7 linked regions of the Callithrix jacchus genome follow. The protein of the gene in region 5 binds, or shares a complex with, the protein of the main gene of each other region. Links are inferred from orthologs where the notes say so. Each region holds a gene or a part of one and is shown on either strand. Other genes may lie near its edges.

Evidence for each region.
Region 1: NUP188 (region 5) and CETN2 share a complex: the UniProt entries of both Homo sapiens proteins name them as parts of the nuclear pore complex. The link is inferred for Callithrix jacchus from reciprocal best matches to the Homo sapiens genes NUP188 and CETN2.
Region 2: NUP188 (region 5) and NUP107 share a complex: the UniProt entries of both Homo sapiens proteins name them as parts of the nuclear pore complex. The link is inferred for Callithrix jacchus from reciprocal best matches to the Homo sapiens genes NUP188 and NUP107.
Region 3: NUP188 (region 5) and NUP93 share a complex: the UniProt entries of both Homo sapiens proteins name them as parts of the nuclear pore complex. The link is inferred for Callithrix jacchus from reciprocal best matches to the Homo sapiens genes NUP188 and NUP93.
Region 4: NUP188 (region 5) and NUP98 share a complex: the UniProt entries of both Homo sapiens proteins name them as parts of the nuclear pore complex. The link is inferred for Callithrix jacchus from reciprocal best matches to the Homo sapiens genes NUP188 and NUP98.
Region 6: NUP188 (region 5) and NUP205 share a complex: the UniProt entries of both Homo sapiens proteins name them as parts of the nuclear pore complex. The link is inferred for Callithrix jacchus from reciprocal best matches to the Homo sapiens genes NUP188 and NUP205.
Region 7: NUP188 (region 5) and NUP214 share a complex: the UniProt entries of both Homo sapiens proteins name them as parts of the nuclear pore complex. The link is inferred for Callithrix jacchus from reciprocal best matches to the Homo sapiens genes NUP188 and NUP214.

What each region holds. Positions count from the first base shown.
Region 1 is NC_133524.1:148,960,081-148,964,013, forward strand, and holds the start of CETN2 (centrin-2), read right to left. Parts: upstream 2,801-3,933; 5' UTR 2,754-2,800; coding exon 2,751-2,753; exon of another isoform or gene 2,615-2,750; intron 1,860-2,614; coding exon 1,701-1,859; intron 1,381-1,700; coding exon 1,252-1,380; intron 847-1,251; coding exon 709-846; intron 144-708; coding exon 54-143; 3' UTR 1-53. UniProt on the Homo sapiens protein: Plays a fundamental role in microtubule organizing center structure and function. Required for centriole duplication and correct spindle formation. Has a role in regulating cytokinesis and genome stability via cooperation with CALM1 and CCP110.
Region 2 is NC_133510.1:50,412,531-50,416,030, forward strand, and holds part of NUP107 (nuclear pore complex protein Nup107), read right to left. Parts: intron 3,177-3,500; coding exon 3,063-3,176; intron 1-3,062. UniProt on the Homo sapiens protein: Plays a role in the nuclear pore complex (NPC) assembly and/or maintenance. Required for the assembly of peripheral proteins into the NPC. May anchor NUP62 to the NPC. Involved in nephrogenesis.
Region 3 is NC_133521.1:14,609,335-14,613,406, reverse strand, and holds the start of NUP93 (nuclear pore complex protein Nup93), read right to left. Parts: upstream 2,801-4,072; 5' UTR 2,718-2,800; intron 1-2,717. UniProt on the Homo sapiens protein: Plays a role in the nuclear pore complex (NPC) assembly and/or maintenance. May anchor nucleoporins, but not NUP153 and TPR, to the NPC. During renal development, regulates podocyte migration and proliferation through SMAD4 signaling.
Region 4 is NC_133511.1:69,220,630-69,224,588, forward strand, and holds the start of NUP98 (nuclear pore complex protein Nup98-Nup96), read right to left. Parts: upstream 2,801-3,959; 5' UTR 2,627-2,800; intron 2,292-2,626; exon of another isoform or gene 2,186-2,291; intron 1-2,185. Other genes in the region: acyltransferase PGAP2, read left to right, coding at 3,104-3,360. UniProt on the Homo sapiens protein: Plays a role in the nuclear pore complex (NPC) assembly and/or maintenance. NUP98 and NUP96 are involved in the bidirectional transport across the NPC. May anchor NUP153 and TPR to the NPC.
Region 5 is NC_133502.1:177,579,338-177,582,837, reverse strand, and holds part of NUP188 (nucleoporin NUP188), read right to left. Parts: intron 3,225-3,500; coding exon 3,079-3,224; intron 2,791-3,078; coding exon 2,609-2,790; intron 1,335-2,608; coding exon 1,134-1,334; intron 971-1,133; coding exon 878-970; intron 62-877; coding exon 1-61. UniProt on the Homo sapiens protein: Component of the nuclear pore complex (NPC), a complex required for the trafficking across the nuclear envelope. Required for proper protein transport into the nucleus.
Region 6 is NC_133512.1:111,670,989-111,674,488, forward strand, and holds part of NUP205 (nuclear pore complex protein Nup205), read right to left. Parts: intron 3,460-3,500; coding exon 3,345-3,459; intron 2,839-3,344; exon of another isoform or gene 2,413-2,838; intron 680-2,412; coding exon 530-679; intron 1-529. UniProt on the Homo sapiens protein: Plays a role in the nuclear pore complex (NPC) assembly and/or maintenance. May anchor NUP62 and other nucleoporins, but not NUP153 and TPR, to the NPC.
Region 7 is NC_133502.1:179,798,267-179,801,766, reverse strand, and holds part of NUP214 (nuclear pore complex protein Nup214), read right to left. Parts: intron 3,315-3,500; coding exon 2,846-3,314; intron 1,338-2,845; coding exon 1,162-1,337; intron 1-1,161. UniProt on the Homo sapiens protein: Part of the nuclear pore complex. Has a critical role in nucleocytoplasmic transport.

The sequences.
Region 1 (3,933 bases), on a different chromosome or scaffold from region 5:
GCAGGCACTAAATCTAGTTACATGTGCTTGCAGTAGAAAAGAAGACACTGATCTCAATAAAGGCTGGTCTTTTTCATGATGCGCAGGAACTCTTGCTCACTGACCTCTCCATCTCCATCTCGATCAGCTTCATCAATCATTTCCTATATGACAGTAAATATTCAGGTTAGCTTAATTTATAAACTAATTCAAAAAGGTGATTAAGGAATAGACTTTTTTTACAGTCAGGGTCTCTATGCTGCCCACACTAGTGCCAAATTCCTGGCTTCAAGTGATCCTCCTAACTCAGCCTCCCAAAGTACTGGGATTATAGGCATGAGCCACTGTGCCTGGGAAGCAATAGACTTTAATAAAGCTATGTGAAAAGATCATCGTAGTCCACCCAATGCCAGTATGCTACTCCTGATAATAGCCTGGTTCCTGAATAGTTATTTGAAAACCAAGTCATATTTTGTGAAACATATCACCTGGGAGGGAGCTTGAAGACTGCCTTGACTAGAGGGATTCCTGGAACCCAAAATAGTAAGTAAGATTGTGCACCTGTGCATTTTTCTAGAAGCAGGGCTCATAGGTTTGTCTGACTATTAAAGGGACAAGAGTCCACTGGCTTTCCTTCAAAGAGATGCTCACACGAGGAAAAATGTAACAGAAAAGGCACAGAAGGCTGAAAGGTGGGAATCTGAAGTTCCAGTGTGAGGCATTACAAACCTGCAGCTCCTCATCAGTCAGGTTCTCACCCAACTCCTTGGCCACGCGTTTCAGATTTTTGAACGAAATCTTCCCAGTTTCATCATCATCGAAGAGCTTGAAAGCTTTCAGGATTTCTTCTTTGGTATCTTTCTCAGACTTAACAAGTAGAACATAAAACACATGAGTAGGGAGACACCACGGTTACTTGTGTCCTGTAGCCCTGCCGCTGCCCAGTCACCCTCTCCTTTTTAACAATAACTCGAGTCTAGACTTGCAGCCAGTGTCAGGAAGCCCATTTTGGCCTCAGAGAAACACCAGGCAAGCCAGGCACTCCATCCAAGGTGACATTTGCTCCCTATCCCACATCTGTTTCTTAACTGGTTTGGAATTCTGTGGGATGAGGTATCTGCTTGGAAGTCTTGAGAGAGAAGCACAAGGTAACATGACGGGAGGGCAGGCCTGAACTGCTGTGTGCTCACATGACTGTTTTAACAGGCAGATGCCATGGGCCTCTGCAGATGACTGGGGCTCTGTACCATGCCAATTGTCTTAACTACTTACCATTTTCTGGGTCATCACAGTTAAAAAGTCACCAAAGTTCATTTTTCCTGTCCCTTCCTTATCAATTTCACTTATCATTTTCTTAATTTCTTCTTTCTTGGGTTCAAAGCCCAGGGCCCTCATTGCCACCTACAATGAAAACAGGATTGTCTCAATATACACATCTAAACTATAAGAAGCAAAAATAACAGTGTTGAGAGCATTAAGTCCGTATCTGATGTGATCATGTTAATATGATTCGGGAACACTTTAACACAGATCTAATTGATATCTGCAATCCATCTGATAATACTCAAGGTAAGTAAAGACAGGAAAACAGAGCACAGTACAACCTCCCCTGTTACTTACTGCAGGGAGAAGAGGGCAAAAGGGGTAGAGAGGTGATAAAGAGATGACAAGGAAGAGGGAGAGGAAAGGCAGGGCAAACGGCAGGAATGCATAGAGCTTGCCTTAAGTTCCTTAACATCTATGCTGCCAGTTCCATCTGCATCAAAAAGATCAAACGCTTCCCGGATCTCCTGCTTCTGCTCTTCTGTAAGCTCAGGCTTAGGACTCATTCTTTTTCGCTGGGCACTTGACGCCATGTTTGCCTTCTTAAAGCTGGAGGCCTTTATATGTTATGCAAATACATAAGCACAATAATATATAATACAGTCCATATTTACATAACATAGTTACAGACACCTATATGTATTTTTAAAGTCATTTATAACCAATTCCAAAGCTTTGCTTAACAAGAAATATCACAGGGTTTACTATTGTTTCTAGATGCAGGGAGATCATTTGTTCAGTAAGGATATCTCTTATTGAAAATCATCCCAAAAGAGAGCTAGTCAAGAAACTGACTGTGAACAACTAGAGATAATCAGCTCTTCCCGAATGTGGGGAACCTGGTTCTGGAAACAGCCTTAAAATGCCCACTGCCAGTACTCCGCTTCCTAGTAAGTACTCTGACTTCCCAATTACTTCTAGATTTGCCCAAATATTAGGAAGTTAAGATGTATATCGTGTCAGTATCTAATAATAAAACTCAATCCATCTGGCACCTTCGTGCCTTCTCCAAGAAGCTAAAGCATCCCCTTAATGCCCCTATATTTATATTGTAGAAAACATTTTCAAAGAAAACAATACACCTTCTCCCAGTTCTGTGGGGAAACTTTGGCAGAATGAGGCGGCCAGGAGGCCAAGGTCTGAGAGAGTCAGGGGTCTGTGAGGGATTCGAGTCTTTTTTGCCCAGGGAGGGTCACCGAGGGGACCAGGGAACGCCAGGGGAGCCTGAGGGGCGGGTGTGGGCCTGTCGTGGGTGAAGGGGAGGCAGTAGCGAAGCGCAGGCCCAGTAGGTTGGTTAGCGCCTGTACCCTACCCTTCCGGGAAAGAGCTCAAAGGAAGGACTGTACGCCAAAGCCGAGAAAGGCGCAGGAGAGGCGGCGTGGCACAGCCGGGGCTTGGGAAGGGCTCAACCTCTGGGCGTGGGGCGCGACGGAGCGGCCAGCACTCACCATAGCCAAAGGACTCCGCTGCCGGTTGTTAGGCAACCGCAGTATACACTGACTCGGCCCCGTTCCCACCGCCCCCTGCGCGCAGCCCCGCTCTCCATTGGCCGTCTTCTGGCCCTCGCCGCTCTCCATTGGTTCAGGGCCGAAGTGGGTGGAATTAACCTGGCAAAGCCCTGGACCAGCGCGGGGAGGGGCACGCTGGCGACACAGGCCAGTCATAACTGGGCAAGATCACGCCGCGAGCGCCAATTGGCTTAGCCAACGCTGAGCTGGGCCAATCCTCTTGGTGGAGGAAGCTCGGCTGATTCTCGTCTCACGCGGGAGGGTAGTAAAGGGTGGCGGTCTGAGGCTAGAGTTCGGTGGGTGCAGCCTGCTTGCGAGCTGAGGCCAGCCAGGGGGGCGCCTACAGACGGGTAAGAGTCGTGGTCTTGCCCTTGGAAGTCACCTTGTGTCAGCGACTGGGCAGGGCGGGAGAGTGAAGAGCTGCGGGGCCTCCCGGGTCGGGTGCTTTCTGGGCTGACCTCAGGCTGAGTTAGGGACCGAGTGCATCAGAGCCCCCAGATGCTACTGACCTTGCGTGTTGGAGCAGGGGCTGTACTCACGGGGCAGCTGAGACCCAGAGAGGGGAAGGGGTGTGCTGAGCGTCGTTGCAGAGGTCGGACTGCTGGTACCTAGGAACTGAATCCAGCCGAGGTTCGCTCTTTGAGGGTGGCCCTTCGAGAGCACTCCCAGACTGCCCCAGAAGTATAGGCCCCAGATCAGGTTCCAAGAGGGGATCACTTTAGGTCTCACGTGGCTAAAAGCAGCCCAGGACGGTGAACTGGGGGCTTTGGGAACGGACTTTGAAAGGAGTGAGGGGGATGTGAGCGAGCATGAGGGGCCGGGAGAGGTCATCAAAATATACTCTTTTTGACACCCACTCAAGACAGATAAGGAGGAGCATTCCAGGCCGAGATGCCCTCATAAGCAAAGTCCCAAGAGTTTTGGAAGTTACTGGTATGCTTGGAGAATTCAAAGGGAGCATGTGCAAGGGCTGTGGACTGAGATAGACCTGCAGAAAGGGAGCTGGAGGTCCAATTTGCCCACTTTCGCTATTCCCGTGGCTTTCGGCCTTCACCTGTCTTTCCTCCAGGCATTGGGGCAGTAATCTAGGGAGGCAGAGGGCAGAGAGTAAGTTTCTCAGGCA
Region 2 (3,500 bases), on a different chromosome or scaffold from region 5:
TTTATTTTTAAAGATGGGGTTTCACCATGATGGCCAGGCTGGTCTTGAATTCCTGACCTCAGGTGATCCACCCACCTTGGCCTCCCAAAGTGTTAGGATTACAGGCGAGAGCCACTGCGCCCGGCCGATACTATAGCTATTCCTAATCTGAAGACAGTACATTCACCTCAGTAATGCAATATCATTCATTTACCAAATATCATTGAAAGCCTCCCATGTGCTTGGCATTACGTTTAAGTGCCAGAGTCAAAGAAATAAAGAAAACAAGGTTACTCTCTTCATTAAGGTTATATTCTAATGAGGGTAGACATACGAAAACCAAATAAACTAATATGTATTATATAAGATTGTGCTAAGTGCTATGAAAAAAAACTAATTTAGGCTATGGAGATTAAAAAGGACACGAGTGTGTGTGCGTGTATATATATATATATATATATATACACATGCATACATGCTATTTAAAATAGGGTGGTTGGGTTGGGGAGAGGTTCTTAAGGGAGATGGCATTTGAGCAGACTGCTAAAAGTACAAAGTCATCCATGCAGATATCTTGGCTAAGGAGCATTCTAGGCAGAGGGGAACCAGTGAAGAGGTCCAAAAGGCTAGAATATAGTGAGGGGAGAACAGGACACAAGATTAGGGGGTTAGTTTAAAAAGAAAACTATGTATAGTCTTGCACATCAGGAAAAGAAAGATGGATTTTATTCCAAGTGTAATAAGAAGGCATCAGAAAGTTCTGGGTAGGATGGTCGCATATATTTCATTCTAAAAGGTTCACTAGTACATCTGTATAAGGAATGGACTGTATAAAGAACAGTGAGAAGCCAGGGAAGACAGCAGAGGCTTGTGCTAGAGGTAGAGGTAATGGAGGTGGTGAAATGTAGGTAATGAGCTGCCTGCTCCATTCTCACTGACATCCCTCTGTGCCACCAGCCCTAACACTAAGGGGACTATTCTACAGTTATTTAAAAACTAGAGGCATAGCTATATGAAAACACTGCATAATGCTAGGGCTATTGCATACAGCCATGCCTTGTACAAGGGTGGCTGGCTAAGCAAGTTAGTGGGGCTGAAATGTAGCCTGTGCTCTGTTCTACATTTCGTGTGGACTGGCCATGGAACCTATCTGTGTGAGGGAAGAGAATTACAATATTTTTTTTTTTTTTTGAGACGGAGTCTCCCTCTCACCCAGGCTAGAGTGCAGTGGCACAATCTCAGCTCAATGAAACCTCTGCCTCTGGGTTCAGTGGATTCTCCTGCCTCAGCCTCCCTATTAGCTGGGACTATAGGCACGAGCCACCACACCTGGCTAGTTTTTTAATATTATCAGTAGAGATGGGGTTTCACCATATTGGCCAGGCTGTCTCTAATTCCCGGCCTTGTATGATCCACCTGCCTTGGCCTCCCAAACTGCTGGGATTACAGGTGTGAGCCACTGCAGCCAGACAAAATTACAATTTTCTAATTCACATACAAGTGACATGTGTTAGCAGGAGCCTTGAATAGTGCCCTACGTCATCGAATATATAAGAGTATTAGGCTTGACTCAACAAGGGTGATTAAAATATCATTATTAATTATTTAATTGTTCAAAAAAATCTCTTTTCTAGATTAGTTTTAAAGAAATAATTGAGATCAAATATTGATTTTTAAAACCCTTGATGAAATTAAATGGTATCATTCACTGCCTTCCACCTAAACTTTATTTATTTATTTTTGAGGCAAGGTCTTGACCTGTCACCTTGGCTGAAGTGCAGTGGCACAATCTCGGCTCATTACAACCTCTGCCTCCTGGGAGGTTCAAGCCATTCTCTGGCCTCAGCCTCCGTAGTAGCTGGGACTACAGGCATGCGCCACCACACCTGGCTAATTTTTCTGTATTTTTAGTAGCAACGGAGTTTTGCCCTGTTGTCCAGGCTGGTCTCAAGCTTCTGACCTCAGGTGATCCATCTACCTCAGCCTCCCAAAGTGCTAGGAGTACAGGCGTGAGCCACCACACTTGGCTCCATTTTTATGAGACCTCAGACTATTTTGTGTCTTTCACTACCTAATCTACTTAGATTAAATAATAATTAGAATAGCAAAGATTTATGTACAAATGAAGCACTGAAGTCTTTTCAAAGTTAAAGTATCACTTAATTAACATTTTGCAACATTAAAATTCTATCTTCAAGAGAATCAGCATAAAAACCTGTGCTTGAGGCCAGGCATGGTGGTTCAAGCCTGTAATCCCAGCACTTTGGGAGGCTGAGGCGGGTGGATCACGAAGTCAACAACAGATTGAGACCATCCTGGTCAAAATGGTGAAACCTCGTCTCTACTAAAAACACAAAAAATTAGCTGGGCGTGGTGGCGCGTGCCTGTAATTCCAGCTACTTAGGAGGCTGAGGCAGGAGAATTGCCTGAACCCAGGAGGCGGAGGTTGCGGTGAGCCGAGATCGCGCCATTGCACTCCAGCCTGGGTAACAAGAGCGAAACTCTGTCTCAAAAAAAAAAAAACAAAAAAACCCTGTGCTTTTCTTATGGCACTTAATACTTCTGTAACTGGTTTTCAACACAGGCTGTATATCATATTAAAACACTCCAGGTGATTAAAAAAACAAACAAACAAACCCCAGCCCTACCTCAGACCATTTACACCAGAATCTCTGGGAGTGGAACCCTGCAGTGTTTTTAAAAAGTTTGCCAGGTCATTAAAATGGACAGCCCAGAGGTGAGAGCCACTACCTTAGCTATCCCTTACTGATACTATTCAAGTTATCTTCATATCTGTAAATTGAGTCACATACATGTATAATAAATATTTAGGTCCAGATTTTTTTAAATTAGATTTTTGTATCCTGTGTAAACATAGTAAATGTGAACTAATAGTTTATCCAAGAATCAAATATTCCCATTCCCTAGCTAGTATTTTCGGCTTAGCTTAAAATATGGGATTTAGCTATATCTACAATTACATAAAATCTGTAGATGCTCCTATTTAGAGACAGAGCATTTAAAAAAGAGAAAGACATGGTGAGTGTTTTGGTTTCTGGCTATAAACAACGCACACAGCTTACCTCTCTAACATCCACCAGCCACCCTCCATCAACAAACAACAAGACGTTATACATTTTCTCCTTCACATCAGCAGTTAGGGCGTCTAAATGCCCTTTCCAAATACCAAAATCCATCTGCAAAACAAACATAAGGCAGACATATAATCGATAAAACCCGATAAGATACGATATAAATAATGTATTTATAAAGTACAGACAGGAATATACATATAAAACATCATTCTCAAGAGTTGACATTTAAGTCTGCCAAATCTAAAAATAAGTATACATACTGCAATTAAATAAAATGCTGAATAAGGTTAACTTTGTAAATAAATGTTCATGTCACCTGAAGGCATTTTTCATGTTTGGTTAATTACCTACAGAAAAGTAACTAAACAGATTGCGTCTTCCAAAGCAGGACATTAACAGGAAGATTATCTGTTATGATAGAAAGAT
Region 3 (4,072 bases), on a different chromosome or scaffold from region 5:
AGCATTAGGTCTGGCAGATAATAGGTACCAGATACATGCCTGTTGAATTAAAACTGCCTGTTCCCTGAACACACCTTGTAAAAGATCTTCCCTCTAACTCCACATTATTTAAATAAACTTTTTCATGAGGAGTGGGCCCTCTTACCTTCGGATCTTTGCTCTGACCTGTCCCTCTCCTTGGTACATCCATCTTTCCGTCAACTTTATTTTCTACTTCAGTTCATCAGGAAGCAGGTTAAGACCCTCAGGCTCACCACATCTCCAAATGCTCACACCTCAGGGTCTTCGAACCTGCTCTACCCCCTACTTGCAATACTCTCAGATAGTCCCATGACTTGCTTACCCCCTACCTGCAATATTCTCAGATAGTCCCATTATTCAAATATACCTGTCCTCCCTTAGGAAACAGTCCTGACATCACATTTTTTTAATCTGTGCTTTTATTGCTAGTGGTGCCCTCCATATGCACATCAGTTAAATGAAGGCAGGCCTGTCTCATTCACCACTGTATCTCCATGCCCACAACAGTGCCAGTAACATTCATCTAGTTCATATTTTTTTGAGCACCTACTGTGTGCCAGACCTAGGTGCTAGGAATACATGAGGGAACAAAACAGATAAAAATCCCCTCACTCATATTCTACAGGGAGAAGACAACAATATGCAAGAAAAATACGTAAAATGTAAGTGCTAAGAACAACTGAAGAGACGAAGGGAGGCGGGAAGTGAGGAAAGCCTCACTAGGTGACCCCTAGTAAAGACCTGAAGAAGTGAGTGCAAACTACATGGATATTAAATTGCAAGCACAAGGGGAGAGAGCAAATGAGACTGGGAAAGTAACAGTGGGTCAGATTATGTAAAGCCTTATAGCTCACTGTAAGGGGTTTGTCTATCATTAATAAGATGGGGACTCACTGGAGGGATTTTTTCTTTTTTTTTAATAAAGGAATGGTACAGTCTGACAGCCTGTGTTTTAAGAAGATCCCTCTAGCTGGTATGCTGAAAATAGGAGCCAGGACAGAAGCAGGGAGACCAAGTGGCAAACTATTTCAATAATCCAAAAGACAGGTGGTGACTTAGCCCAGGACGGCAAGTATTATTTGCAGTGCGAAAAAGAGAGGGCTGGGTGTAGTGGCCCACACCTGTAATTCCAACACTTTTGTGGGAGGCTGAAATGGGCAGATGACTTGAGGCCAGGAGTTCGAGACCACCCTGGCCAACATGGTGAAACCCCGTCTCTACTAAAAATACAAAAAATTAGGTGGGCATGGTAGCATAGGCCTGTTAATCCCAGGTACTCAGGAGGCTGAGGCAGAATTGCCTGAACCCAGGAGGCGGAGGTTGCAGTGAGCCGAGATAGCGCCATTGCATTCCAGCCTGGGTAACAAGAGCAAAACTCCGTCTCAAAAAAAAAAAAAAAAAAAATTAGCCAGGCAAGGTGGCACACGCCTGTAGTCCAGCTACTCTGGAGGCCGAAACAGAAAAATCGCTTGAGCCTGGGAGGCAGAGGTTACAGTGAGCTGAGACAGCACTACTACATTCCAGCCTGAGTGACAGAGGGAGACTGTCTCAAATAAAAAAAAAAATAAAAAAAAAGAAAAGGAAAAAGAAAGAGAGCAGTCAATGACGTCTCAAAGGTTATTAGCCAGCGTCTTTCCTATTATTGAGATGAAAAAAAAAAAGGCAACAGGATCAGTTTGGGGAGGGTAATAAAGGGGAGCTTGCTAGCCTTCTCTTGACATGTCTGAGTTGCCTATCATCCGATACTAAGTGGGTGGCTGGATAAAGGTCGGGGTGAGGCCTACAATGGAGACATAAATATGGAATCTGTTAGCCTCTGATATGTAGGTATTTAGTGCTATGAACCTGGATGAGATCACCATGAATGAAAATAAAAATATTGCAAACACCAATGCACAAAGGAGGAGAACTGAAAGAAAAAAAGAAGAGAAGCTAGGATGACCAAGGATATCCTCCCACATCTCCCAGAAAGAATACAAAAAGACCCTCGCTTTTGCTCAAAGACAACTCAGTCAAAGCAAAAAATAAATAAATAAAACCTCCTTCCCACACTTAACAGAAGGGCAAACCCAGACCACAGGTTCTGTCAACGGGTCTTTCTCGCTTTCAGCAAAGACTCATGGGCCCGGCCCCATAATTTTTTCAAAAGAAACCCAGTGAACTTGGGCATCGCCTTTGCAGAGAACGGGATGGAGCAGGCACAGAGAAGGGTGGGCCACTCCTGGGTTCCAATCACTAGCATCCTCCTGGATGTACAAAAGACAAGCCAATGGTTGGGAAAAGTTCCACTTGCCCCAAATATCCCTTCCCTCGCAGGGCAACGTCTCCCTAGAGAGTGTGTCCATGACGTGCAGACGAGCAGGCAGGGCGGGCTCGCGGGGCATGAGGTGGATGTGAGAGCAGGGGCGTGGAGCGAGGGCGTCACAGTGGAGAAGGGGGAGTGACAGGCCTAGGTTCTGCATACAGAAAGCGGGCGGATGAAAGGCACCCCCAGGGCAGCAGCCCGACTCTAAGCCTCGGGGGCGGCTAGACAAGGCGTTGTGTCGCCGGCGTTAGGCGTGCCTGGCTGCCCTGAGGAGAACGGGAAGTGTAAGCGGCGGGGCTGCGAGTGTGAGGACGGCGCTCCACCCAGTCACGGGGTCCTGGGTTCAAGGACAAGCCCAGGGTCGGAAGGACGCGACCAGAGACACCCTTACCTTGTACAACAGCTGTCTCCGCCGCTTGGGTGCCGGCTGAAGTACGCGGCCGCCGCTTCTCGCGCCGCTCTCCCCCGCTTCCTGATTGGCCAACGCTGGCCGTTCCCAGAAGCCCCCGCGCGGCGCGCCATCAAACGAACTTTATCGAGACCCGTCGGGGGAGGACAAGAACAGGGGCGGGGAGGAGGCTGGGCCTTGGGCCGAACCGTCACGCCTTGGGCACAGGCAGCCACAGCCTTCACCTTTCTCACTTGATTAGAGTCGGCTCTGTCAGGAGAAAGTGATTCTAGAATTCCTTAAGCTAAAGCAATTTCTTAATCCTTGAGCGCCAAGGGCTGGGCCGTAGTCTACGAGCTGGGAACACAGTGGCGACCACGACAGACAAGATCGCTGCCCTCATGGAGTTCCCAGGCTGGCAGAGGAAACAAAATATAATAAATAAGTAACTGCAGTTTGCAAGAAGAGCTATGAAGAAAAAACAGGGTGATGGGAGAGAGAATGCTTGGATGGTCAAAGGAGACTTTTCTGTGGTGGTGGCGTCTTGAGCTGACTAAAGAAGGATGAGAAAGAATGGAGCTTGCAACGTTCTGGCTTCAAAGAATTCCAAGCAGAGGGAACAAGAGTGAAGTCTCCAGGAGAAGCCAGATTAGTGTTTGGAGACTAGAAAGAAGGGGTGTGTGGCTGGAAGATGGTGAGCGGGGGCAAGTGGGGTCAGACATCCATAGACTGAATGGCTTATACACAACAGAAATTTATTTCTCACCGTTCTAGAAGCTGGGAAGCCTTAGATTAAAGCACCAGCAGATTCAGTGTCTGCTGAGGGCCTGCCTCCTAATTCATAGATAACACTTGATACGGTTTGGCTCTGTGTCCCCATCCAAATCTCACCTCAAATTATAGTCCCAATAATCCCTACATGTCAAGGGTGAGACCAGGTGGAGGTAATTGGATCATGGGGGCAGTCTCCACCATGCTGTTCTCGTGATAGTCTCACAAGATCTGATGGTTTTATAAGCATCTGGCATTTCTCCTGCTTACACTCATTCTCTCTCCTGCCGCCCAGTGAGCAGGTGCCTTCCACCATGATTGTAAGTTTCCTGAAGCCTCCCAGCCATGCAGAACTATGAGTCAATTAAACTTCATTTCTTTATAAATTACTCGGTCTCAGGTATTTCTTCATAGCAGCGTGAGAACACACTAATAAAGTACTCTTCTCTCTGTAACCACACACAGAAGAAGGATGAGGGAGCTCTCCAATATTTCTTGTATAAGTGCCCTAATTGAGGGCTTCACTCTCATGACCCAATCACCTACCAAAGTCCTCACCTCCTAATACCATACCATTGAGGGACAGA
Region 4 (3,959 bases), on a different chromosome or scaffold from region 5:
TAAATCATATTACAAAAAAACTGGCTAATTTTTTCAAAGCTGTAAATTTGGTTCCCTAAAAATTCTACTTGCTCTTATTTATCTAAGATGTAGCAGACATAAAGTCAGGTACTGGCTGATCACAGTGGCTCCTGCCTGTAATCCCAACACTTTGGGAGGCTGAGGTGGGTGGATGGCTTGAGCCCAGGAGTTCAAGACTAGCCTGGGCAACATAGCAAAACCCCGTCTCTACCCCCCAAAAAATAAAAAATAAAAAATAAAAAAATTAGCTGTGTATGGCAGTGCACACCTGTGGTCCCAGCTACTTTGGAGGCTGAGGTGGGAGGACTGCTTGAGCCCAGGAGGTCAAGGCTGCTGTGAACCGAAAGACTGTACCACTGCACTCCAGCCTGGGTGACAGAGTGAGACCCTATCTCATTAAATAAAGTCAGGTACCAAAGTATCACATAACCTAGAAACAGCAGACTAACACATAACATATAAACAGATTTCTTTATTGACTACTGTTAGGTATAACTCCTCCATATTTGTCTATTCATTCAATAAGTCTAAACACACTTATTGAGGGCCTACTATGTGGCAGGCAATTGGACTACAAAGACAAAAATATTTTACCAGACTAATAAAAACACAGCTAAAATAGAAATGATAGGTGCTATAAATAGAAGTATCAAATAGGTGTTATGGAAGCTTGCAGAGGAGAGAATGCCAAGAAAAGCTTCCCAGAAGACGCTTGAACTGAGAAAATGTCACAGAAAACATACCCTGTTCATGCTTTACTGTTCTCCCTGCACTACTGGTTTTGAGTTTATGCTTTGTCATCTAAATAAGAGCAAAGTGACAACCTTACTGATGTGAACAGACCAAAGTGTCAACTAATTCAATTTCATCAAATCTGAGAAGTCAAAACCAGTAATTTTACCCAAGTATTTCCCAGTACCTTTTTTGTTTTCTTTTTTGAGACGGAGTCTGGTCTGTCGCCCGGGCTGGAGTGCAGTGGCATGATCTTGGGTCCCTGCAACCTCCACCTCCTAGGTTCAAGTGATTCTCCTGCCTCAGCCTCCCGAGTAGCTAGGATTACAGGCATGCGCCACCACACTGGGCTAATTTTTGTATTTTTAGTAGAGATGGGGTTTCACCATGTTAGTCAGGCAGGTCTGGAACTCCTGGCCTCGTGATCAGACCACCTCAGCCACCCAACGTGCTGGGTTTACAGGCATGAGCCACTGCACCCAGCCTTCCCAGTACCTTTATCCTGTTCAATCTCTAGTTTTGGTTTTTAAATACTCTAACTTCCTCCACCAGGTAAACATTCTGTAACCCAGTTAACTAACTAGAGCTTCTTCCTGAATTTATAAGACTGTCACAGGGAATAATCACTGCTCTTTCCCTTTCTCCCTTCCTCCCTCCCTCCCTCCCTCCCTTCCTCTCTCTTTCTGATAGCTTCTTCCTCCAAAATGGAGTTTTGTTTTCTCACCTCATTCTACTATAATACTCCACTATGAATTCTGTACCTGAATGGAGCCATGAGGTACTATAAACGGACTCCTGCTTAGCTTTCTAAGTCCTGTCAGTATTTTCTGCTTTCTATTCCAGTACTGTTAAAAATCACTGACTGCGAGTCCTCAGCAGCTGGCACAAATCAAAAAATTCACATTTAGAAAGGCCAACAATGGCTTGTAGTTTTATCGATTTGTTTCCAATAAATAACATCACTGACATTCTTTAACCATCTTCTAAGTTTAGTTGTTGAGGTCTAGGTTAACGAAGCTTCCACCTTCCGTAAACAGAGCTGGTAGCAACTAAATGGAAAACGCTATGAAGATTCCATCTACGTCCAGCTACCTAATATGCATCCGCACCGACTTCCTAAAGGTAATTCTTAATAATGGGAGGCTGAAACATCTAAGTAAAAAAATTTTTAGACTGTCAGAGATCTGGCATTGGCTAATCCTGCCTGTTACTACGGACCTCAGTTTCCCCATCGACAGAAATGCGATGTAAGGTAGGAAGATTGACTTAAACAATTTCTAAGTTCTTTATGGCTGCAGTAATCCAGAAACTCCATTTTTCTCCTCATCTGGCTTTACACGGAACACGTGGAAAAACAGAAAACCTTTTGCTCCACCGAACCGACTTCCATTCTCAGATATTAGTTTAAAAATCTAACAAACTTCAGACTCACCCTAATCCTCGAGGTGCCCATTTCCCTTAAGGAGAAGCCAAAGCAAATAAAGCCCATCCCCACATGACGGTCAAGGAAGTGCGGGGCAGCCCATATTCGGAGTCTCAAGGCGTAAAGGACGATTCCGTAAAGTCCAGCCCACCGTGGGGTCCTAACACCGCCGAACGAATGAATGACTACAACCAGACAGACGCCCACTCGCGTGGGCTCAAGTGGAGACCCCCAGGCCTAGATCCCACCGATGTCCATTCCCTCCCAGGGCCTCCAGAACCGGACCACCGAGACTCAGGGTCCTGGGCCCCGCCCCTCTCTCAGGCCTGAAGGTGTGCGCCGCGGCGAGAGACTTCGGCGCTGAGAGGCCCTGGGACGCCCCGCGCGTCCGTCCTCCAGGGAGGAGGAGCCTGCCGCTCTCGGCCGCGGCATCTCCGGCTCCCGACTTACCGCGGTTCTTTAGGAGAGGGGAAATGTCAGGAATCCGGGCCCGGTCCCGTCCGCCACCCGCCGCTAACGGAGCAGCGCGCGGCCCCCACGAAACCGTCACCGTCACCGTCACCGCCGCTACCACCACAGCTACCGACCACCGCTTCGGGCGCAGCGCGCAGAGGGCCCGAGTGCGTCACACGCCGCCCGGCGTCAGGGGCTCGCTGCAGGCGCTCCGCCCTCGCCGTCCACGAATTGGTGAACGTGGCCGCCACTCTGGGTCGGCCCTGTTATTCATTGGGCAACGCGTCTTTTGAAACCGAACATGAGGGCGGTCTTCGGGGTGGAAGGGGCGAGAGGGAAGGGGAGGGACACAAGGAGTTAGGGGCGGTACAGGGGAGGAGCGGTAAGAGGGCCGTGGGGTCCCGCCCCCTCGCCGCTGCGGTTGATGGGAGTGAGTTGTGACGTCACACAGGGCCTCTCTAAGTGGGCTTGTGAATGGCTAGATTGGGAAGCACCGGCGGGATGTGGGGAAGAGTGGTGACGCAAAATAGAGACTCCGCCCCCTGCCTTGGAGCGCTGAGACTCAGGCTGCGGGAGCTCGGGCCAATGAGAGGGACGGCCCCAGAATGGCATGGTAACTATTCGACCCTTTACTTGCCCCGGTCCGCGGGCGCTGCTGGGAAGGCTTTCTCGTCTCTCTGCCCGCACTTCCTGGACAGACCACGTGCGGAGTTTGAGGACCCTTCCGGGAGGTCTGTCTGTCCAAGGAGTTTGCCTGAGGCTGCTTCAGGGGCCTAGATCCTTACCCTATTCTTTTCTGACCTATGCTTGCCCCAGCACATTCTTTCCCTCTCCGAATTTCTAGGACAGACATTAGGAGCAGTAGAGATGCCCTAAGGGAATGGCCCACCAAAGGGCCTAGTACAAATGAGGATTGTTGGAACGTCTTTCCCAGCTGCACGGGAGAACCTCCTACTTCTTTTTTTTTTTTTTTTTTCCTTTCGCGATGAAGTCTCGCTTTGTCTCCCAGGCTGGAGTGCAGTGGTGCCATCTCGGCTCACTGCAACCTGTGTCTCCCAGGTTCCAGCAATTCTCCAGCCTCAGCCTCACGAATAGTTGGGATTACAGGCACCCGCCAGGCCCAGTTAATTTTTGTATTTTTAGTAGAGACTGGATTTCACCATGTTGGTCAGGCTGGTCTCGAAGTCCTGACCTCAAGTGATCCACCTGCCTCGGTCTCCCAATGTGCTGGGATTATAGGCATGAGCCACGTTGTCCGGTGAACTATTCTTTTTTTGAAATGGGACCCAGCTAATTTTTGTATTTTTGGTAGATAGGGGGTTTCACCATA
Region 5 (3,500 bases):
ACAGGCGGTAGACTCCTGGCCAAGAGGGGGCATCCAGAGACTTCCGAGAGGCACTAGGTATCTAAGACACAAACAGCAGACAAACTGAGGAACCCTGCTGACAGGCAGGGCCTTCCTGCAGTACAGCAGCTAAGGCAGCCCAGCTGCTGGGAGGAAAAGACCTCTCAGAATAGACACAGCCACTGCCTGGTGACCAGGGGGCCAAGGCCAGCAGATGCAAGGAAGAGCACCAGGCCGACACAAGATCCAAGGTTCCAGGCTCAAACCTGCCACTCACTAGCCATGTGAACCCAGACATGTCACTACCCTGCTCTGGCCCCCACATGCTTCCTCTAAGGGGTAGCTGGGCTAGATGACCAAATACTTAATGACTCTTACGAGAGGTTCAGAAGACTACTCTTTTGGAATTAGGAGGTATATGTTAAACTAGAAATAACCAAGGGACACAGAGGGCAGGGTGCTGAGGCCCCATCAAGCCCCCACACCACCCGCTTCCCTTCTCCCAGTCCTAGTCTGGTGGGGCAGGGGTGAAGTCACAATGACACACTGTCTTTAGGAGTGACAGGAGATGACAGCTGCCTTGGCTAGAGGCCTGGTCCCAGGGATGTGTTCTCAATCTGGTTTAGTCCTCCTCACTCCTGCAACAGGAAGAATCCATCCCATCTCCCAGAGGTAGTGCACAAAGGCCAGGTGGTGCCTTTTTAGTGGTGAGTTTCTCTTGCTAGAGATCCGCCTGGGGGCAGGGAAGATTCCTCACCATCAGTGTATTAGGCCACAAAGAGGAGTGCAACTTCCAGGGAAAGGCAGGGGGGGACACTTTTCTACTGGAACTGTAGGCTGGCCAGGCCAGGCCTCCTGGCAAGCTCCTGACACTCACCTGTGCTGTGCCATTGGTGCTCAGCTGGTACACACTCAGAAGGGGCAAACAAATGCTCTGGGTGATGCCAGCTCCAGCCACTGCTGTGGCTCCCTGTGAGAAGGGAAAGACAGGGAATGAGATGGAGCCTGCCCCTGCCCTACCCAGGGCAGGTAGAGCTCTCAGGCTAGACCGTAGCTTCAGGGATTGTCAGTACCACCGACCCCCGCCAGCACAAGCAAGGACGCTCCCTCCTGCCTTTGGGCTGGCCTCCTACCTGCTGAGTGCGAGCCAGGGTGAGGAGCAGGTGCAATGCGGCCTCAGTGAAATGCAGGTTCTGCTTCATGCGAAGGCTCACCTCTAGGGTGGTAAGGAGGGTGGGCAGGATGGGGAGCCTGCGGGTCACCTGCAGCCAGGAGTCACCATCCTCATCTACCTCACACAGCTCCTTGGCCAGGTGCAGGCCCAGGACACACACCTGCTGGGGCCCAGGGGCAAAGATGAGTAAAAGGCAGAAGAAGAAGAGGACAACGACAAGCAGCTGTGGGCCTGGTTGCCCAAGACCTTCTTGGATATACACAATGCCAAGTGAGCTTCAGTGACAGAGAATGCACACTCTCTCCCACCCTGCCCCTCTCCTGTGTCTAGCTCTCATTGAACAGCAACAACTCCAGCCACCCTAATGACCAACCCCTAAATTGGCTCTTCCTTTCCACACTGCCACCACCCTTGTCAGTACCACCTCTTGTCTCACGTTGGACACTCTAACCAACTCTGCCAATGGAGTCTGAGGGACCTCTCTGGCTCTGCTTGACACCACCTCTTGCTTTGCTGCTGTAACCACCTCCTAAATGGTCCTTCTCCATCCTCTCTAATCTACCTTCCTATCAGTGGCCTTTCAGACTTCTTTCTGGCCATGAACCACAGTACTAAAGACTTTTGAGACTATACCCTCAGGTACATGTTTACAGGTTTTCACTAATAATACCTACCCAACATCACACAAGGCACAGTGATATTTTCTTAAATATTTTATTCTACTCATTTTAAACAATGCTGGCTGTTACAAAATGTGCTAATTTTAAGGCTCCCTAATAGGTCATTACCCCACAGTTTGCAAAATACTATTTGATACCGCATCCTGAGTGATCTTTCTTGGGCAGGCCTGTAATCCCAACACTTTGGAAGGCTGAACTGGGAGGATGGCTTGAGGCCTGGAGTTTAAGTTCAGAATGATTTTTCTAGAGTAAAAATCAGATCAGTTTTCTCCCCTGCTTAAAAGCCTGACCTCGCTTCCTTTTTCACTTTGGATCCAAATCAAGGACCCTGATGAAGCTGCCATCATCCAGCCCCAGCTCCTCAGTCCTCACCTTCCTATGCTCACGCTAGCTTTTCTTCAGGTTACTGGACAATTCTAAGCACAGCTGGCCAGGGGCTCTTCTCACTGCCCAAATCTTCCCTGCACCTTCATTTGCCACAGCTACTATCCCCAAGTCATTGCTGAAAAGGCACCTAAGTCCCAGATCAGGTTAGAGACAAGACTGTAAGTCTGCCCTGCACTTCTCTCCTGCAGTGCTGGTCACAAGAGGCTTCCCCTGCTTTTATGCCGTGTCTGATCTATTAACGTTTCCCACCAGGCTGTGAACTCCAGAAGTGCAGCCACTCTCTGTCTTGCTCACTAGTTACCTCCAGTCAGGCAGAGAGCTGCTGGGCAGTGGAAAGGACAGATGGCCTTCTAGGGCACTCTCTCACCCCATCACGCTGGTCCTTGTGCCGGGGCCGAGAGCAGTCGTCTGTCTCCATGCTGTCCTTGTCCTCTGCAGCACTGCCTGATGCCAGGCTGTGGCGGGTCTGGTCAAAGAGTGCAATCACTTCCTCTTGGAGGGTCTCACAGACATTCAGCACCAGCTGGGAGTACTGGGGGATGTCATTTACTGCAGAGTAGACAGGGAGGGACGCTGTCATGCTTACCAGGCCAACTCTCACTGTCCACCAAAGTTTCCTTCCTAGGCAGGGGGCTAGGAATGTAGTAGGGTGCTACAAGGGAGAGCCTCTGTCCAGTAGGAGAGGGACGAGAGACAGGTGGGGGAAAAAATAGCTTTCCTGAGGTAGAATTCCAAGATTAGAAACTCAAGAGTCCCAAGAGAAACGTGTGATTCTAAGCTGGTGGAAGCCCTGCCCGGCTGTCAGCAGCTGCTGCTCCCCCTGCCTCTGCCCCTCACCTCTCATCTCCTTCATCTGCAGCACTGTGATGAATGCTGAGAACACCTTGGCCTTGGTCTTCTCCATGAGTTGCTGGTCGGCCTGCAGCACTCCCTCCAGGATCTCCGTCAAGGGTCCAAGGATTTCATCCACAGAACCTAACTCTCTAAAAAGAATACAGGGTGGGCTGGGCATGGTGGCTCATGCCTGTAATCCCAGCTCTTTGGGAGGCCAAGGTGGGCAGATCACCTGACATCAGGAGTTTGAGACCAGCCTGGCCAATATGGTGAAACCCCATCTCTACTAAAAATACAAAAATTAGCCAGGCGTGGTGCAACATGCTTGTAATCCCAGTTACTAGGGAGCTGAGGCTCAAGAATCACTTGAACTTGGGAGGCGGAGGTTGTAGTGAGCTGAGATTGTGCCAACTGCACTCTAGCCT
Region 6 (3,500 bases), on a different chromosome or scaffold from region 5:
TTGGAAATAACAAACATAAAGTATTTTATTTCTAGATCATTGTTTCTACGTCAAAGAGCCCTGTGCAAATTCATAATTAGAATGCGAAGAAAGATGAGGACTTACTACCAACATTCATCTAATTCTTTCCATCCATATGGAATCCATCTCACAATTATAAAGAGAATAATCAGATTCTCAAAAATGGCAAGATCCAATCATACCAATGAGATGATTTTAAAGTTTATGCTTAATTTGCATGAATAATACACATTGAAATAGCTTAGGTCATGCTGGGTCAGCATGACAAACTCCACTGACAATTTTGAGTATAATACCGGTATGACTACAGTGTAATGTGGATGCTTAAAATAATAATAAATGACAATCAAAAGATGAGTTAATATTTTTGTGTTTTAAAAAAAAAAACATTCTAAAAGTGAGAAGTTGATTTTGGTCTATAATCACATACTAAGCACAAGCTTCAGATCTGTGCTTTGTCTTCAGAATAACTAGTCACCAGCACAATAAAACAAATACTAATACTCACCTGAGTATGGTTTCACTGGCATGTCATCCAATAAGAGGTGTAGGAGCCTCTGGGTATGTGACCGCTGACGATTCAGAGAGGTTACCCTTAGTTCTATTGAGGCAGTTTTCATAAGCCATGACATCTGGTTCAGCATAGAAATTTCATATTCTAGAATTTAAAAAGTAAATTTTGTTTCCTAGAATAATAGCATAGTATCAAAACAGACTTAAATTCCATAACTCAACAGGTATTTTCCCATGTAACGAAGTCAGTAATTTATGAAACTCAGCAACGCAATAATTTCTCATTCTGTAGAATTACTAGAAAAAAAAAAGATACCAAGGAAGAAAAAATAAGCTAGTATAAATCTATGAAAGATGAGCTAAGGTAAATGAAGAGTAAAAGGGAATCTAGTTTTCATTACTAATTTTAATTTCACCAAGATTCTGAGTCTATCATATTTTGACATTAATATATAAAACAATATTTCAAAGTAATTTTTTTATTGTTATTTAGTCTTTATTTCATAATCATAAACTTAACTCAACTCTGCAATCCAGCTAGGCATGGAAGGGAACAAGAAAAACATGGAACCCAAAGGGAACTGCAGCGAGAGCACAGATTTTAGGATACTGCGAGCAAATGGAGTGGAGGGGTGCTCCCTCTCAAAGTAATTTTCAAATACATAACTCAAAAACTATCACAGTTTGGTTTTGATTTCACAAAATAAATACTTAAGAAAAATCAAACTTAAATTACTTGATTTTATAATATCTCAAGGATGTGGTTTAACATTTAATTAAGGCTAGGAATCACTTACACAATAGTTTTCATTTTTATTTATTTTTTTATTGTAGAGACAGGGTCTCGCTCTACTGCCCAGGCTGTTCTTGAACTCCTGGCCTTGGTGATCCTCCTGTCTCAGCCTACCTAAGCACTAGGATTATAGGTGTGCGCCACTGTGCCTAGTCCTACAATAACAGTTTTTAAATTCAATACTATTTTAACATGCTTGACATTGAACCCTATACTGTGACAGTATAAACATAAAATTAACCAAATAACAATAATACTAATAATAATTTCAGGAAAAGCTAAATGAAGTTTTATAAAACATGTACCATAATAAGTAAAATGTTAAATTTTCTTTTTAATTAGGTATAAAAAGAGGGTTACTAAAAGCTTCTTACATAAAGAAAATCACAGAACTAAAAATAAGACACTAATGAAAATAAAGTGAAAATTCTTATGCCATTAGATAATTCTCAGAGGTTTAACACCATTTACTCTAAAAGGTAAATGAGATGCTGGCAATTACTAGTAACAGAAATTTGTTTATGAAATGTGTGAGCCTCAATTTCCTAAAACACAAAGATGATACAAACTAAACTTTAAAAAAACTCACTTTACGAAAGAAGACATATATGAGGCCAACAATCATATGAAAAAATGCTCATCGTCACTGGTCATCAGAGAGATGCAAATCAAAACCACATTGAGATACCATCTCACGCCAGTTAGAATGGCGATCATTAAAAAATCTGGAGACAACAGATGCTGGAGAGGATGTGGAGAAAAAGGAACACCTTTACACTGTTGGTGGGAGTGTAAATTAGTTCAACCATTGTGGAAGACAGTGTGGCGATTCCTCAAGGCCTTAGAAATAGAAATTCCATTTGACCCAGCAATCCCATTACTGGGTATATATCCAAAAGACTATAAATCGTTCTACTATAAGGACACATGTACACGAATGTTCATTGCAGCACTGTTTACAATAGCAAAGACCTGGAATCAACCCAAATGCCCATTGATAATAGACTGGATTGGAAAAATGTGGCACATATACACCATGGAATATTATGCAGCAATCAGAAATGATGAGTTCGTGTCGTTTGTAGGGACATGGATGAATCTGGAAAACATCATCCTCAGCAAACTGACACAAGAACAGAAAATGAAACACCGCATATTCTCACTCATAGGTGGGTGATGAAAAATGAGAACACATGGACACAGAAAGGGGAGTACTAAACACTGGGGTCTATTGGGGGGAAAAGGGGAGGGCCAGTGGGAGGGGGAGGTGGGGAGGGATAGCCTGGGGAGAAATGCCAAATGTGGGTGAAGGGGAGAAGAAAAGCAAAGCACACTGCCATGTGTGTACCTACGCAACTGTCTTGCATGCTCTGCTCATGTACCCCAAAACCTATAATCCAATAAAAAATTAAAAAAAAAAAAAAAAAAAAAAAAAAACTCAATAGACCAAGACTGTCTGAATACAATCTGAATTCAGAAAACTATTAAAAGTTGATCCAAAAGAAAATAAAGTAAAATCCCAATAAAACTTCATTAGCCTGGAATAATTGTGTCATATCAATAAACTAAGTTAAAGCTGTTTTCTATCATATTAGTTTTCAAGTTTTCATTTCAAGACCTGAATAAGTTTCAATATATACACAAGAAACAAAAGTAAATCGCGATTTTTTTTCCTTATAAACAGCCTGGAAAGAGAAAATAAGAAATCTTTGTAAAACAATTTTCATTCAAAACTTTAAAATTCCCATTAATTTTCGTATCCCTTCAACACAATCTTTAAATTTCATTTGTTGCAAAAGAATCAAATTCTATCTCTGACAGGCTATATTTAAATAAGTTTTTGCTAGCAGATAAAATATCAGGTTTTTTGAAGCAGAAATTACAAAAGGAACCCGAAATAACAAAGAAGCCAAAATATTAGAATGAGAACAGAATTCCCCCCACATGCTGCATAAATAAAATCACTTAACATGGAATTATAAATTTGTTCTTATAATAAGGGAAAATAATATCCTACCTTTGTTAGAAAACGGTAGATACTTCAACTGGGAAAATAAGAAATCCTGGCTGGTTCTCAAGTACCTCATAGTAGGGCCAGACGTATCAGAGCATGCACATAACTGATATATGACCTAAAGCATTAAAGTAAGAAAGACCCCTAAATCAGTCGTTC
Region 7 (3,500 bases), about 2.2 Mb from region 5:
CAAATGTCCCTTCTCTAAATCAAAGGAATTAAGTTACACATTGCCCCTGGCCCCACTTTTATGATTTATTTTAAAAAGTGATGTCCACCAGCTGTGCTAGTCTCTGTTCTAAGATAATGAAAAAAAACAAAATATGAACATTTTAGGAGCCAGGTATGGTGGCTCACACCTGTAATCCTAGCCCTTTGGGAGGCTGAGACAGGAGGATTGCTTGAGCCTAGGAGTTTGAGACCAGCCTCAGCAATATGGCAAGACCTTGTCTCTATAAAAAAATTTAAAAATTAGCCAGCGGTGGTGGTACATGCCTGTAGTCCCAGCTACTCAGGAGGCTGAGGTGGGAGGACTGCTTGAGCCCAGGAGGTAGAGGCTGTGGTGAGTCTGGAGCATTCCACTGCACTACAGCCTGGGTGACAGACAATCTGTCTCAAAACAAAACAAAACAAAAGCCAAAACACTTCCTGCTTATAGTATGACTAACTGAAAATACGAATACAGTTGCTGCAGGCACTCTCTCTTCTGTGAGTCTTTTTTTTTTTGAGATGGAGTCCTGCTCTGTAGCCCACACTGGAATGCAGGGGTGCGATCTTGGCTCACTGGAATCTCCACCTCCTGGGTTCAAGCAATTCTCCTGCCTCAGCCTCCTGAGTAGCTGGGATTACAGGCACCCACCACCACACCTGGCTGATTTTTGTATTTTGAGTAGAGATGGGGTTTCACCATGTTGGCCAGGCTGATCTTGAACTCCAACCTCTGGGAAACCACCCGCCTCAGCCTCCCAAAGTGCTGGGATTACAGGCATGTGCTGTTGTACCTGGCCAAATAATTCTTGTGCCTGTGCTTCTTAAACAACTGTTCTGTAACTGTGCTTCACAAAGTGCAGGCTCCACATGAAGATAAATGCTCAACAGTAAGACATTTTCTTTGAATCATTAAGTACACTTAGCTCCATAAGAAGTGTCAGAGAGAAGTGTGGCAGCATTAAAGCCATAGCAAGTCTCCCAATTCAGAGTACGAAAAGCACAGCACATTTATCACTTATGTAAGATACAGGAAGCAAGAAAAAAAAACCCTGTCCAACTGTTAGTTAGGACTCTTAACACTTAAAACCATTAATCTGAGAAGGCAGGGCTAAGGTCTGAAGTTGTTTGCTTAAAATCAGACCTGATGTTGAAGGCAAGACTGAGGACTTCAATGACACGGAACTGGATGATGCTGAGAGAGGCGTGGGGTGGTTGAGTGGTCCAGAAGCAGTTGGCTTGGAGGCAGAAGAGAATGGCGGCATCGAGGGTGTGCTCTGGGAGCTACTAACAGGAGCAGAGGAAGGTGTGGCAGTAAACCTGAAAAACGGCAGCCAGAAGGCCTCAGAAGAGCTTGCTAGAAGATTCTTCCAAACTAGCATGAGCAATGTCATCAGAAGATAACTTATTTTCTTTTATGTTAACTTACAAAGATTATAAACTTTTGTGCCTTCAGAAAACATAAATGTTTAGCTATTTCTTACAAAAGGTGAAAGCTGCAAGGAAGCATTTATCTTATCGTCTGCTTATTTAGGATGTGTTATTTAGGGGAAATATCAAATACTTAAAGACAAAACTAAGTTTATCACAATATAAAATACCAAGTTTATCAGGATATGAAATATTATTGTGTCCAGCTGAGTTTTAAACAGGAGGTGGGACCCAATTACGCTTAGGGGAGTCAGTACTTTTTCTTTTCTTTCTTTTTTTTTTTTTGAGACGGAGTTTTGCTCTTGTTACCCAGGATGGAGTGCAATGGCGCGATCTCGGCTCACCGCAACCTCGGCCTCCTGGGTTCAGGCAATTCTCCTGCCTCAGCCTCCTGGAGTTAGTACTTTTTCTTACCAAGGAAATTACTAAGAACTCGTTTTGAGAGTGACCACCTTTTCTGGAAGTGAAAAAGGAAGAGAAACGCAAGTCACTGTCTTTGGGATACTCATGGCCTAAAGGGAATGTAAAGCCAGTTCCACCTAAAGAGCAAAAGTCTGTAGACAATCTAAACATCCAGCATTAGATGACTGGTCAGATAAACTGTGGTGCAGCCAACAAAACAGAACACTATGCAACCCTTAGCATGAAGCGGCTGCCTGCCGGATAAATATTAACAGTAGCTGACAGTGGCAGCACCACCACAGCAACAACAGAGAGTACAGGCAAGCAGGGAAAGGCTGGTAGTATCTATAACCAGTGGTTATCTTGGGAGGGGTTACAAAATATAAGGGATTGCTTCCTTTGAAAAGCTTACATTCTAGTGGGGAGAAAAGAACAAGCAGATAAAGAAGTAAATAAATAAGAAATGAGTGAGCTGTAGGACTTAGATCTGGAGGAAATTGGATACCAACCTAATAATTAGCAGTGAGCAGCCATGGGGCTTCACAGGGACTGTCAAGCAGAAGAATCACCTAACAATTTACGATGTCGCAAGATCACTTTGTGGCTATGTAGACATTTGAGAATTAAGGGTGGACACGGGTTGGGGGGGAAGTCTACAAGGGATTAATTTCCTTCTAGGATATATATTCTTGATTGTTTCTTTTTTTAAAATAAGGAATATTTCCTACCTTTGTAATGTAAAAAAAACCACAAATATTTGAATATAAATCCCTAATAGTCAAAAAAACAAAATGCTAGCTAAGAGACCCTTCTGGACTCTATCCACTGATGAAATGCCAGCTTTTTATGTTGGCTGAATTTCTACCACTTGAAAGTATTACTCTGGGTAAAAAATTCTACTCAGTAACTCCTCTCACAGTGACTCTACGTCTAGCAAATAACATGCAATATTTCTACCCATCCCACAGAAGAATCAAACTTTAGAAATGACTTACTTTTCACTAAGGTTGACTTTGACTGCTGAGGGTGAGAAGGAGGGCTTCACTGCTACATTTGGAGCAGACACACTTGGCATTGGTGTGCTTTCCAGGGTAGGCTTAAAACCAGATGATCCAAAGGAGAATGAAGCAGCTGATGGAGCCATGGGAGACGCTGCAGGGGTGAGGGCTAGGGAGGCTTTAGAAGGGGGAACAAAAGAAAAAGTTGATGGGCCAGGGCCCAGGGCTGCTTTAGAGCTGTCTGAGCCACTGGAATATGAAGGGGGCTCCCCAGTGACTGTAGCAGCTGACTTCAAAGATGAAGAACCAAAGGAGAACACAGTGGGAGCCCCACCAGCAGGAAGCAAAGAAAAAGTGGCAAGGGGAGCAGCAGGTGATGATGGTGGCAGAGAGGCAGGGGCTGTAGCTGCAGAAGCATCCAGTTTCTGTGGGGCTTGAGGGGAGGTCGGGGTAGTGGGCGTACTTCCTGCAGTGACAAAAAAAAAAAAAAGGAAAAGGTTAACACTGTAAGAGTGGAGGTTCACATAAGGGAAAGCAAGTGAAAAAGAATGTGTGGTAGAATGAAGCCAGAATGATACTAGTTTAAGAAGCAAAAAGAATAGATGGGAACACAGTTAATATTGAAGTTTTCATGTAGCATGAGATAAATGAA